Linked DNA regions of Macaca fascicularis. The protein of the gene in region 3 interacts with the protein of the main gene of each other region in a pairwise test. Links are inferred from orthologs where the notes say so. Each region holds a gene or a part of one and is shown on either strand. Other genes may lie near its edges.

Region 1 (3,750 bases), on a different chromosome or scaffold from region 3:
TCCCGAGTAGCTGGGATTACAGGCGCCTGCCACCACAGCCGGTAATTTTCGTCTTTTTTTTAGTAGAGACAGGGTTTCACCGTTTTGGCCAGGCTGGTCTTCAACTCCTGACCTCAAGTGATCTGCCTGCCTCGGCCTCTCAGTGCTGGGATCAGAGGCGTGAGCCACCATGCTTGGCCGCAAATAATTTTAGAAATCGGCCGGGCGCCGTGGCTCAAGCCTGTAATCCCAGCACTTGGGGAGGCCGAGACGGGTGGATCACGAGGTCAGGAGATCGAGACCATCCTGGCTAACCCGGTGAAACCCCGTCTCTACTAAAAAAAATACAAAAAACTAGCCGGGCGAGGTGGCGGGCGCCTGTAATCCCAGCTACTCGGGAGGCTGAGGCAGGAGAATGGTGTAAACCCGGGAGGCGGAGCTTGCAGTGAGCTGAGATCCGGCCACTGCACTCCAGCCTGGGCGACAGAGCGAGACTCCGTCTCAAAAACAAAAAACAAAAAAACAAAAAAAAAAAAATCAGCGGGGCGCGGTGGCTTGCGCCTGTAGTCCCAGATACTTGGGAGACTGAGGTGGGAGGATCGCTTGAACCCAGGAGTTCGAGGCTGCAGTGAGCTATGATTGCGCCACCGCATTCCAGCCTGGGCGACAGAGAGAGACTCGGTCTCAAAAATAAAAAATAAACTGGAAAAGTAATTCTTAGCTCACTAGCCGTTCAAAAACACGGGCATAGTGTGCTTCGACCCGCGTACTGCAGTTTGCTCACCCTCGCAGACTGGCTGCAGCGCGCAGGACAGCACTCCTCGGAGGGCGGTGCCAGGAGCCGGGCCTCGGATTGGGCTTCTGGACAGAGGATGGAGCATCGCGGTTGGGCGGGGCATGCCCGGATTGGCCCACTTCGGCGTCGCAGAGCGCGCGGCGAATCGGCATTCAGCCAGTCAGTGCGGCGCTGTTGCCTCGCCCCGCCTCACGCCAGCGTCCGGGTGGTGCGGAGAGGGCGCCCAGCTTCACTGCGCTCTAAGCGCGCACTTCCGGGCACGGTCGTGGCGTGACGTCGGGAGGAGGGCAGGTAAGTCCCCGCGGGCGGAGGAGCGGGGAGGGCCGGGGGTCCGGCAGCCGTCTCACCCGGGCCTCGGAGCCGCCCGACGCGCCCATCTGCGTCGGGGGACGCGGGGCTGAGGACCCGATCTGGATGCCTGGAGCCGGCCCAACTCCCACCCAGGACCAAAGTCCCTGAGACCCCTGACCCAAGTGCCTGGGACCCGGCCCCTTCCTAGCCCGGATCCATATTATGCCTGAAGGGCCCTGGGTTTTTGCATCGGGAAAATGGGACCAATAAGTCCCTACCTCACCAGATTTTATAAAAATGATTCTTGTAAAACCGTGAGCAGGAGAAATGACTAAACTGCCAGCACTGAACTCGGGAGTCAGGCGCTGCCCTAAATGCTTTAACCATTTTACACGTAAGGAAAATGAGGCTTAGAAAACAATTTGCCTCAAATCAAGCAAATAGGAAGCAGCAGGATGGAGCTCCCAGCCCAAACTTTACGCCCAGGACAAACAGGGTCGGTAATTACTTTTGCAGCAAGGACCGGAGATATCTACACGCCCACCCGATAGCCCCGTCTGCCATTTACCGGGTCAACAAAACCATCGTAAGACACACACACACACACACCCTCAAGCTCCTGTAAACGGAGTATCTGCTCTTTGCAGGCTCTTCCCGTGTGTTAGTTGATTCACAGCATCCCCAGAAAGTCAGTCTTTTCGTCATCATTCGCCCTTTACCGGTGACGAAATACAAGCCCAGGGAACCGCAGACACTGACCAAGGTCACCCAGCTGATGAGGAGTGGAGCTGGGATTCAAGCCCAGGGAACCGTGACCCCTAACACCTCAAGGGGCACTTAGCTATTTGGTTGGCAAAAGTATTTTTAGGTTGGAACGGACCTTGGAATAATCCAATCTAAGGGGCACACTTTATAGTTGCAGCATCCAAGACTAAGGTGAAGGTGGAACAGTTTATGTCCGGGACTTTGCACCATGGCCTCACCACCTCACTACACCACCCCCACTCCATCAGAAGCTCTTCCATCAGCTTCTTTCTTTTTTTTTTTTTTTGAGACAGAATCTCACTCTTGTCACCTTGGCTGGAGTGCAGTGGCACCATCTTGGTTCACTGCAACCTCTGGCTCCCGAGTTCAAGCTATTCTCCTGCCTTAGCCTCTCCAGTAGCTGGGATTACAGATTACAGGCGTGCACCACCAGGCCTGGCCAATTTTTGTATTTTTGGTAGAGATGGGGTTTCACCATGTTGGCCAGGCTAGCCTCGAACTCCTGACCTCAAGTGATCCACCTGCCTCAGCCTCCCAAAGTGCTGGGATTACAGGTGTGAGCCACCGCATCTGGCCCCCAAGAATGGTTTTAAAGTTTTTAGTGGTTGGGGAAAAATCAGAATAATAATGCTTTGTGATAGATGACGATTATGTGAAATTCAAATTTCTGTGTCCATCAATAAAATTTATATTGGCATGCAGCTACGCCCGTTCATTTATATATTGTTTGGTGCTGATTTCTAGCTATGAAGGCAGAACTGAGTTGTTGGGGCAAAGATAATCTGGCCTAAAAAGCCAGAAATATTTACTCTCTGGCCCTCGACAGAGAAACTTTGCCAATCTCTGTTCTAGAATAAGCTTCACTGCCTCGCAGAGTCTCTCTTTAGTGTAAACTAGAACTTCCTTCTTTTTTTTTTTTTTTTTTTTTTTTGAGACGAGTCTCGCTCTGTCGCCCAGGCTGGAGTGCGGTGGCGCAATCTCTGCTCACTGCAAGCTCCGCCTCCCAGGTTCACGCCATTCTCCTGCCTGCCTCAGCCTCCCGAGTAGCTGAGACTACAGGTGCCCACCACCACGCCCAGCTAATTTTTTGTATTTTTTAGTAGATACTGGGTTTCACCGTGTTAGCCAGGATTGTCTCGATCTCCTGACCTCATGATCCGCTTGCCTTGGCCTCCCAAAGTGCTGGGATTACAGGCGTGAAGAAATTCCTTCTATATGACCTAAAAGCTTCCCTTCCAAACATGGGAGGGGGTCTCACCACCTCTAGTTCGAGGAGCCCCTGTATTTCCACTTGTGTCACCTGCACTGATGGTGACCCTTATGGAGCCTCATTCAGTTATCTCAGTCTTTTACCCAGTTGACATTTATCTCGGCCTGGCACTGTCCTAGGTGTTGGGGATATGGCACAGTGTGACCTGCCCGGGGAGACACAGGGTGATGTGATCAGAATTCCAGGAACAAGTGACTATGGATTCGGTGGTCGGATGAGGTCATTTTTTGTTTTTTGTTTTGTTTTGAGACACAGTCTCACTTTGTAGCTGGGGTGCAGTGGCGCCATCTTGGATCACTGCAACCTCCGCCTCCCGGTTCAAGCCATTCTCCTGCCTCAGCTTCCCAAGTAGCTGGGATTACAGGCATCTGCTACCATGCCTGGCTAAATTTTGTATTTTTAGTAGAGATGCGGTTTCACTATGTTGGCCAGGCTGGTCTTGAACTCCTGACCTCAGAGGATCCACCTGCCTCAGTCTCCCAAACCGCTGGGATTACAGGTGTGAGGCACCACACTTGGCCGGATGAGGTCTTTGATGGATATGATATGTAGGTCAAGACCTGTGACAAGGGGCTGGGTGCAATGGCTTGCGCCTGTGATCCCAGCACTTTGGGAGGCCCTAGGTGGGTGGATCACCTCAGGCCAGGAA
Region 2 (3,650 bases), on a different chromosome or scaffold from region 3:
TGAGTGAAATAAAAAAAATTGAATTTTGTACACATTTATACGTATCAGATATAAATAATAACCAAAAGAGGCACAAACCATAGTCACTGTGACTACTCTCAATATTATTCGCAGCACATTACAGGTCAAATATATCCTATTCTGAGTACTGCTACTCTCACCAACATTATACTTTTTACAGAAGTTACAGTAATTCATCCACAGTATGGCAGGAGGAAAATTTCCATTTCCTTCTTACCCTCCTTTTATCCTATCTGGATCTTTCTTCTAGCTTGGCTTATGTACTCAGGTTCTATTTGGAGTGGTAATTTTACTATCCGTTTAAACATTTTATTTTTCTAGAATATCTTCTAAGTAGCTCCCTTCTTAAGAGAAATTATACCACATAGCAGACAAGCAATGGTAGTAAAACAATTTGCTGGATCATCAGTGTAAGGTAGGAGGGCTTTTTTAAATGGGCACTTAGACTTGTACATAAATATTATATGACACAACAACTTCAGAAAACCCTGTCCACTGAACACACATAAATGACTAGGAACTTGTAAGGCAGGAACTATAAACAAGTGCTTCAGTTTGTAGCCCATAATAGTGACCACTGTCACAAAATTTGATAGTGGATTAAATATTTATTGCCTTCAGTTTAAATTGTTAGTTCAGACATTTAATTATCCCTCCCGATTTCGTGGTGTACTGAAATTTCTTCAGTTCTTTGTTTTGTTTTGTTTTGTTTTTAAAGACAGGCTTAGAATTAGCCCTGTGTTAAACACTTAATGGCAATTTGTAATGGCCAATGCCAAACTTCTGTTTCTTTAGTGCATTGAGTACACAAACACAAACATACGCTAATGTCCTCCACAAAAATCTCTCACCTACCTAGATACACTCAGACACCTCCACCCACCCACACCTACATAGAGACACACCCTGCCTTCCCATTACCATATACCCACATATGCAAATTGGCACGTATGCTAATTGTAGTACACCTACACAAGTACTCACATACTTAAAAGAAGAGGTGGAAAGATCACAGCAAAGATATATAATAAGCAATAATGTCACTGACAGAGGAGAGAGGGTGCTGTTTCCCTGGATGAACTACTGGTGTTGCAGGCCATGAGCTGACTCCCCAAAAGTTAGCCAGAAGTGTATGAATGCAAGCATGTTTATGCAACAGATGAGATAGGCTCCAGGGAGAGCTTGCAGGTGAGCAGGTTACTCCTCATGAAAACAACTTAAAGTTAATTCACTAGTCATATAGGAAAAGTCACCCATTTTATTAGAGAACTTGCTAACTGCATAACTCTATTATGAGACAAAGTTGTGTAAGAGATGTTCCCCAGATCCCTTACCTTAAGTTTCTCAAATCGATCATTCAGGGATGCGACCTGATGGTCTCGGTGACGACCCACCAGTTTGCATAAGGCACAGATCAATTGGTCATCAGATACACAGTACATGTTCACTTTCTCATTCTCGTGGTCCAGGCAGGTGATCCCTCGAAGATGTGTGTCTGGCACTGGTTCCACCAGGCGATGGCTGGTGAAAGGTTTCTTGTTCGGGTGCGTGGCCCGCAGGCAACGGTCACAGTAGGAGACCTCACAGGTGATGCATGTTTTTACTGCATCCCTTGGCGGGTCCTGCTCACAGAATTGGCAAGCAATTCGCTCACTAGACATGGCGGTGCTGGGCCTGTAAGTCCTTTCCCGGCGGCTCTCACTAGGGGAATTGGGCCCACTGACTGAAGCCTTCTGGAAGCGATCAATAATGTTCTGCAGAGTCACATTCCTCTTGAGGCCATCCAGGCCCCGGTGGTTCAGCGAGATAACATACCTGCAGGTAGGACACTGGAAAGCAGTAATGGGTTCAATGGATTCACCAGAGCTGCAGCTTGAGACCAAAATGCGATGGGCACAGCTGAAGCAGAGGCTATGAGCACAAGGGAGCAGAAGTGGGTCTTCAAACAACTCTAGGCAGATTGGACAGGTCAATTCAGACTCCAGTGTTTCCATCTTTAGTGAAAATAATCCTCCTGAGGCATTAAGAACCACGGAGGCTGGGCTTTCACCTGCAAGGAATACAAAGCAAGAGTCATTAAGCATTTCCAAAGGAAAATGGATATAACATAATTATACACTAACCAATGGGCGTGTTTACGTGCTGGATTCCCCAGGGATGCTTAAGCAATAGAAAAGCAATTTGGGAATTAATCAGGAAGACTTTCCCCCCCTTCAAACCTTGTTTTAGACAAATGCCTATGTTTATTTTCATGCACAAAGAGATAAAACCAAATGGCTACCTCTGAATCCTGATAGACAGATTAACATTACCATTCCAGCTTACAATATTTGAATGGATCATTCTCTCACATATTCTCCACTGACATTTCTTTTCCCAGACTAAGATGAGGCTGAGACCCTGCAAAATTCCCAATCTCTATTCTCCAGTATTGTTCTCTATTTCACTTTAAGGTAAACTGTAGGGCTGCTTCTATGTGACATCCAGTGTAAGGAAAACAATGCCATATTTTAAAGTAACTCTGTACTTCCTGAAATGATTCCATTCTGAGAGTCTGCATAAAAAAGAGAAAGCTTTAGAAAAATGTAGCTCTTGGTGCAGGATAATAAATTTTTCCTCAGAGTGTGAACTTAAATTACTTCTTATTATCACACATGGAAATTTCTGTTCCATCCCATTCCTAGTAAACTGAGTTAGTTGAGACAAAAGATGATAGTTTTCACTTTCATCTTCTTCCCTCACCTTCAGAAACCCCTTCATTTCATCAAACTGAATGGGGAATGATTTCAAACTTTTCAACTTACTCAGTAATCATTGCTGATCAATAATAAAGTCATATTGCCTTGTGGCTTCAATTTGGTTTTATTACTAAACACCTGCTGAACTAGCACAAGCCTGCTATGAAGATCACCTCCCATTTGTCTTTTCATACTTTCTAAAACATAACGGGATGCAAATCAATATCTAGATAGAAATTAGCAAAGTGCCAGAAATTTTCAGATCTGGTAACCTTCAATTAAGTGAGCATCACTGAGTAAAAGAGGTCACCTGGCCGGGAACGGTGGCTCACGCCTGTAATCCCAGCACTTTGAGAGCCTAAGGTGGGTGGATTCTGAGGTCAGGAGGTCCAGACCATCTTGGCCAATATGGTGAAACCCCGTCTCTACTAAAATTACAAAAATTAGCTGGGCATGGTGGCGCTTGTCTGTAGTCCCAGCTACTCGGGAGGCTGAGGCAGAAGAATCGCTTGAACCCGGGAGGCGGAGGTTACAGTGAGCTGAGATCATGCCACTGCACTCTAGCCTGGGTGACAGAGCAAGACTGCATCAGAAAAAAAAAAAAAAAAAAAAAAAAAAAAAAAAAAAAGCCACCCAACTGACAAGAAACCAACCTCTTGGTAAATCTATCTATTTTTCCACAGGAATTTCTGTGCTCAACACACAGGTACCTAATTCTTAATTGCCTTGAGTCTTCCATTAATTAAAATACACACATAAATATTCTAAGTTGGCTTTAACTAAGGAAAAATATAAAACATATCTTATTGACTGAAAATGTTAATCCTATGTATAGGAAAGAAAAAGGGCTTTGTTGTTGTTGTTGTTGTTTTTAGACAAAATGTCCCTCTG
Region 3 (3,750 bases):
ATGATACGAAATTAACATGAATGTGTCCATAAAAAATTGTACTTACTCATACTTCACGCTACAATAGCAGAGTTGAGTAGTTTCAACAGACTAGATGGCCTAAAAAAAACCCAACACAGTCATGCACTACAAAATGATGTTTGGAGGCCGGGCGCGGTGGCTCAAGCCTGTAATCCCAGCACTTTGAGAGGCCGAGACGGGCGGATCACAAGGTCAGGAGATCGAGGCCATCCTGGCTAACACGGTGAAACTCCGTCTTTACTAAAAAATACAAAAAACTAGCCGGGCGAGGTGGCGGGCCCCTGTAGTCCCAGCTACTTGGGAGGCTGAGGCAGGAGAATGGCGGGAACCCGGGAGGCGGAGCTTGCAGTGAGCTGAGATCCGGCCACAGCACTCCAGCCTGGGCGACAGAGTGAGACTCAGTCTCAAAAAAAAAAAAAAACAAACAAAAAAATGATGTTTGGGTCAATGAAGGACCGGTCAATGAAGGACCACATAGATGACAGTGCTCTCATAAGATTATAATGGAGCTGAACAATTCAAGATTCACCTAGTGACACTGTAGCTGTTGTAAGGTTAATGCATTATTCACATGTTTGTGGTGATGGTGGTGTAAACAAACCTGTTGTGTTGCCAGTTTAACACATACAGTTATGTATGGTACATAAAACTTGATAACAACAATAAACGACTATGTTACTTGTTTATGTATTTACTATACTTTTCATACTATACATTTTAGAGTGTGCTCCTTCTACTTATTAAAAAAAAAGTTAACTGCAAAATGGCCTCAGGCAGGTCCTTCAGGAGCTATTATAGAAGGCACTGTTATCACAGAGATGACAGCTCCATGCACGTTACTGCTACTGAAAACCTTCCAGTGGGACAAGATAGGGAGGCAGAAGGCAATGATATTGATAATCCAGACCCTGTGTAAGCCTAAGCTAATGCATGTGTTTGTCTTAGTTTTTAACAAAAAAAGTTCCAAAAGGAAAAAAAAATAAAAACTGGCTAGGTGCAGTGGTTCACATCTGTAATCCCAGCACTATAGGAGGCTGAGGCAGGAGGATCACTAAAGACCAGGAGTTCAAGGCTCCACTGAGCTATGATCGCACCACTGCATTCCAGCCTGGGCAACAGAGTGAGACCCTGTCTCTAAAAAATGAATTTAAAAATAGCAAAAAGCTGGGCCTGGCGCAGTGGCTCACACCTGTAATCCCAGCACTTTGGGAGGCTGAGGCGGACGGATCACGAGGTCAAGAGATCGAGACTATCCTGGCCAACATAGTGAAACCCTGTTTCAACCAAAACGAAGGTTTGCTTTATTATTATGTGCTTAAAAAAATTTTACCACTTAAAAAATAAGGTATTTAAGAACTCCTTGGACTTAAAATATATGTGGAAAAAATGTTCACTTGCTGAGTAACAGATCACATAATATTGAAAAGATCATATGTGAAAAACAGATCACATATTTTGAAAAATTATCTTGCACATAATACGTAAATATTCAGTCTTCCACCACACCATACGTACATTTATATTTATAATGATAGGCATTAATCACAGAAAATTCTATTAAGAAAAGGCACTCGCATTAGCACCTTAACTTCTTGCAGTGGTCCAGTGTCTTGTCCTTACACTGGATGACTCACAGTTTCCCCAGTTCTACCTTCAGGGAAACTGTATGCTGTTTCTGGACCTTTATTATTTGCACTATCATGCCCGTGCTGTTGTTTACGACACATACTAGCAATGAGCCATGCAGCCTATGAACAACAACTTAAAAAAACTTATCGTAACCCAAGCAAGATGAAGACTGGAATCAGAAAAGGCCTTATCAGACAAGTAATACATACTGGTTTAATTAAATACCCTGGAGTGTGGTGGCCTTATAAATAAGGTCTAGCCAACATTGATTTGTGCCTATTCCAAGACCCTGCTTATCAACGGTGCAACTATTTCTACATATATTTCTCTTCCTTTCATGCTGTAGAGCATACTGCTTGTGGGAAATGGAGGGAAGGCCAACGGTCCCGACAATGTTTGGTCAGAGCACCTCGTTCCAGGTGATCGCCCACCTTACTGCTGCATAGACCTGCTGTGTACCCCGATCCCGGCCAGTCCTCTAGCCCCTCTTCCCAGCACTCAGGACAGCGGATTTCACATGACCAAAGACCACCCTGTGACAACAGCGTCGGAACCACGGCACTTCCGCCTGCGGCCGGTGGGACTACAAATCCCAACAGCCCCGCGCAAGTCTCGCCCCATACCACCTCCTCCCAACACGACTCCCAGAACCCTCCGCGAGACGCCAGGGCCTCGAAATAGAACAAAACCGGCCGGTGGGGGAGGGGGAAGGTGAGGGTCTCGGAGGACACCGGGGGTTAGAGAGCACTCTGCAGACGCCGAAGACCCAAGCAAGCCTGCCGCCTACCTCTCCCCGCCCCACAACTGCTAGGCGCGGAGAGCGCGGCCTATTCCCCGCGCCTCCCGGGAAGCTGAGGAAGGTCCCGGGAAGGCTTCCCCGCCGACTCCTGCTAAGAGGTCCGCAGACCCTAGCCCGGTGTCCCCCTCCCTCCCATAACGTTCCCCGCACACCGGCGCAAACCTCTGGCTCAGGAACCGCAGCAGCTTCGCTGTCCACGGCAGACGCAGAAACACCGTTCACAAGCCTTTTCCCAGAAGCCCCCGGCACGGGCTGCTTCCGGTCTGCGGGCCTGAGGAGGCGGGGAGAGGTAAAGCCCACGTTGCCATGGAGAAGCTCCCCGGGCGGGGGAGGGGCGGCCCCACGACAATGACCGCATTGAGGCTGCGCTTGGCCTCGCGCCTCGAACAGCCTAGCGTCCTCTGGACCGTTTAAAAGAAAAGTAGAGGACTCTACCATTAAGATAGTCCTTACAGTTTCGCAAGCCCTTTCACGTGCATTATCTTGTGGATCCTCTAAGTAATTCCCTGCAAGAAGGAATAAAAGCGAGTATTTGTGAAAGCTTACTACATTGTGCCAGGCGCTCTCGTCGTGCTTTACATGTCATTTATTTTTTCACAAATAAATGATGTAGGAACTTTCATTATCCCCATTTCACAGCTGAGATAGTTGAGGCACAAATACAGTAAGTAACTTGACAAGAGCTCACAACTCATTTGTGGGTAGCAAGATTTGAAACCAAGACGTGATTCAAATCTTTGGCTCCCACTAGTTATGTCACGGAGCTTTATTCTGACCTATTTGTCAGGAAAACTAGATGAGACAGGTTAAGGGTTTTGGCAACGATGTCACGGTGAATTTGTAGAATGCATGGTCATCTTCAAGCTGGGCATTTTATACCATAAAACAGCTGCTGACGCAATCATTTATTACAAATCAGACCACTTCACTCCCCTATTTAAAGCCCTCCAATTTATGCCATAATAATTTATGACATAAAAACTCCTTATAATGTCTTGTAAGTCCCCCATGGTCTGTTGCCTGCCCGCACCCCCAGACCCTGGCGCCCCCAGTCACCTCAGCTCTTCAGCTCCGTGTGGCCCAAGATCCTCAGCCTCACCGCCAGCCTTTCATGACACATGACCCTTCATGGCACTATTATTAATGGAAGTGATCTCATTTATTTACTTGTTTTTTGTTTTGTTTTGCCTTTAAGTCCCTTAAGGGCAGGGACCTTGACTGTCTTGTTCACCACAGCATCCCAGCCTAGACCCCGGAAGCTGACTGCCTGGTAAATAGAGAACACAATAAATGTTTGTTGA

The links.
Region 1: the proteins of ZNF24 (region 3) and YJU2B interact in binary tests that used the Homo sapiens proteins (3 or more experiments, as listed by UniProt). The two-hybrid records come from large-scale screens. The link is inferred for Macaca fascicularis from reciprocal best matches to the Homo sapiens genes ZNF24 and YJU2B.
Region 2: the proteins of ZNF24 (region 3) and MID2 interact in binary tests that used the Homo sapiens proteins (3 or more experiments, as listed by UniProt). The two-hybrid records come from large-scale screens. The link is inferred for Macaca fascicularis from reciprocal best matches to the Homo sapiens genes ZNF24 and MID2.

What each region holds. Positions count from the first base shown.
Region 1 is NC_088393.1:14,163,078-14,166,827, forward strand, and holds the start of YJU2B (probable splicing factor YJU2B), read left to right. Parts: upstream 1-1,016; 5' UTR 1,017-1,066; intron 1,067-3,750. UniProt on the Homo sapiens protein: May be involved in mRNA splicing.
Region 2 is NC_088395.1:114,409,273-114,412,922, reverse strand, and holds part of MID2 (probable E3 ubiquitin-protein ligase MID2), read right to left. Parts: intron 2,072-3,650; coding exon 1,356-2,071; intron 1-1,355. UniProt on the Homo sapiens protein: E3 ubiquitin ligase that plays a role in microtubule stabilization. Mediates the 'Lys-48'-linked polyubiquitination of LRRK2 to drive its localization to microtubules and its proteasomal degradation in neurons.
Region 3 is NC_088392.1:54,501,193-54,504,942, reverse strand, and holds the start of ZNF24 (zinc finger protein 24), read right to left. Parts: upstream 2,699-3,750; 5' UTR 2,602-2,698; exon of another isoform or gene 1,997-2,601; intron 710-1,996; exon of another isoform or gene 1-709. UniProt on the Homo sapiens protein: Transcription factor required for myelination of differentiated oligodendrocytes. Required for the conversion of oligodendrocytes from the premyelinating to the myelinating state.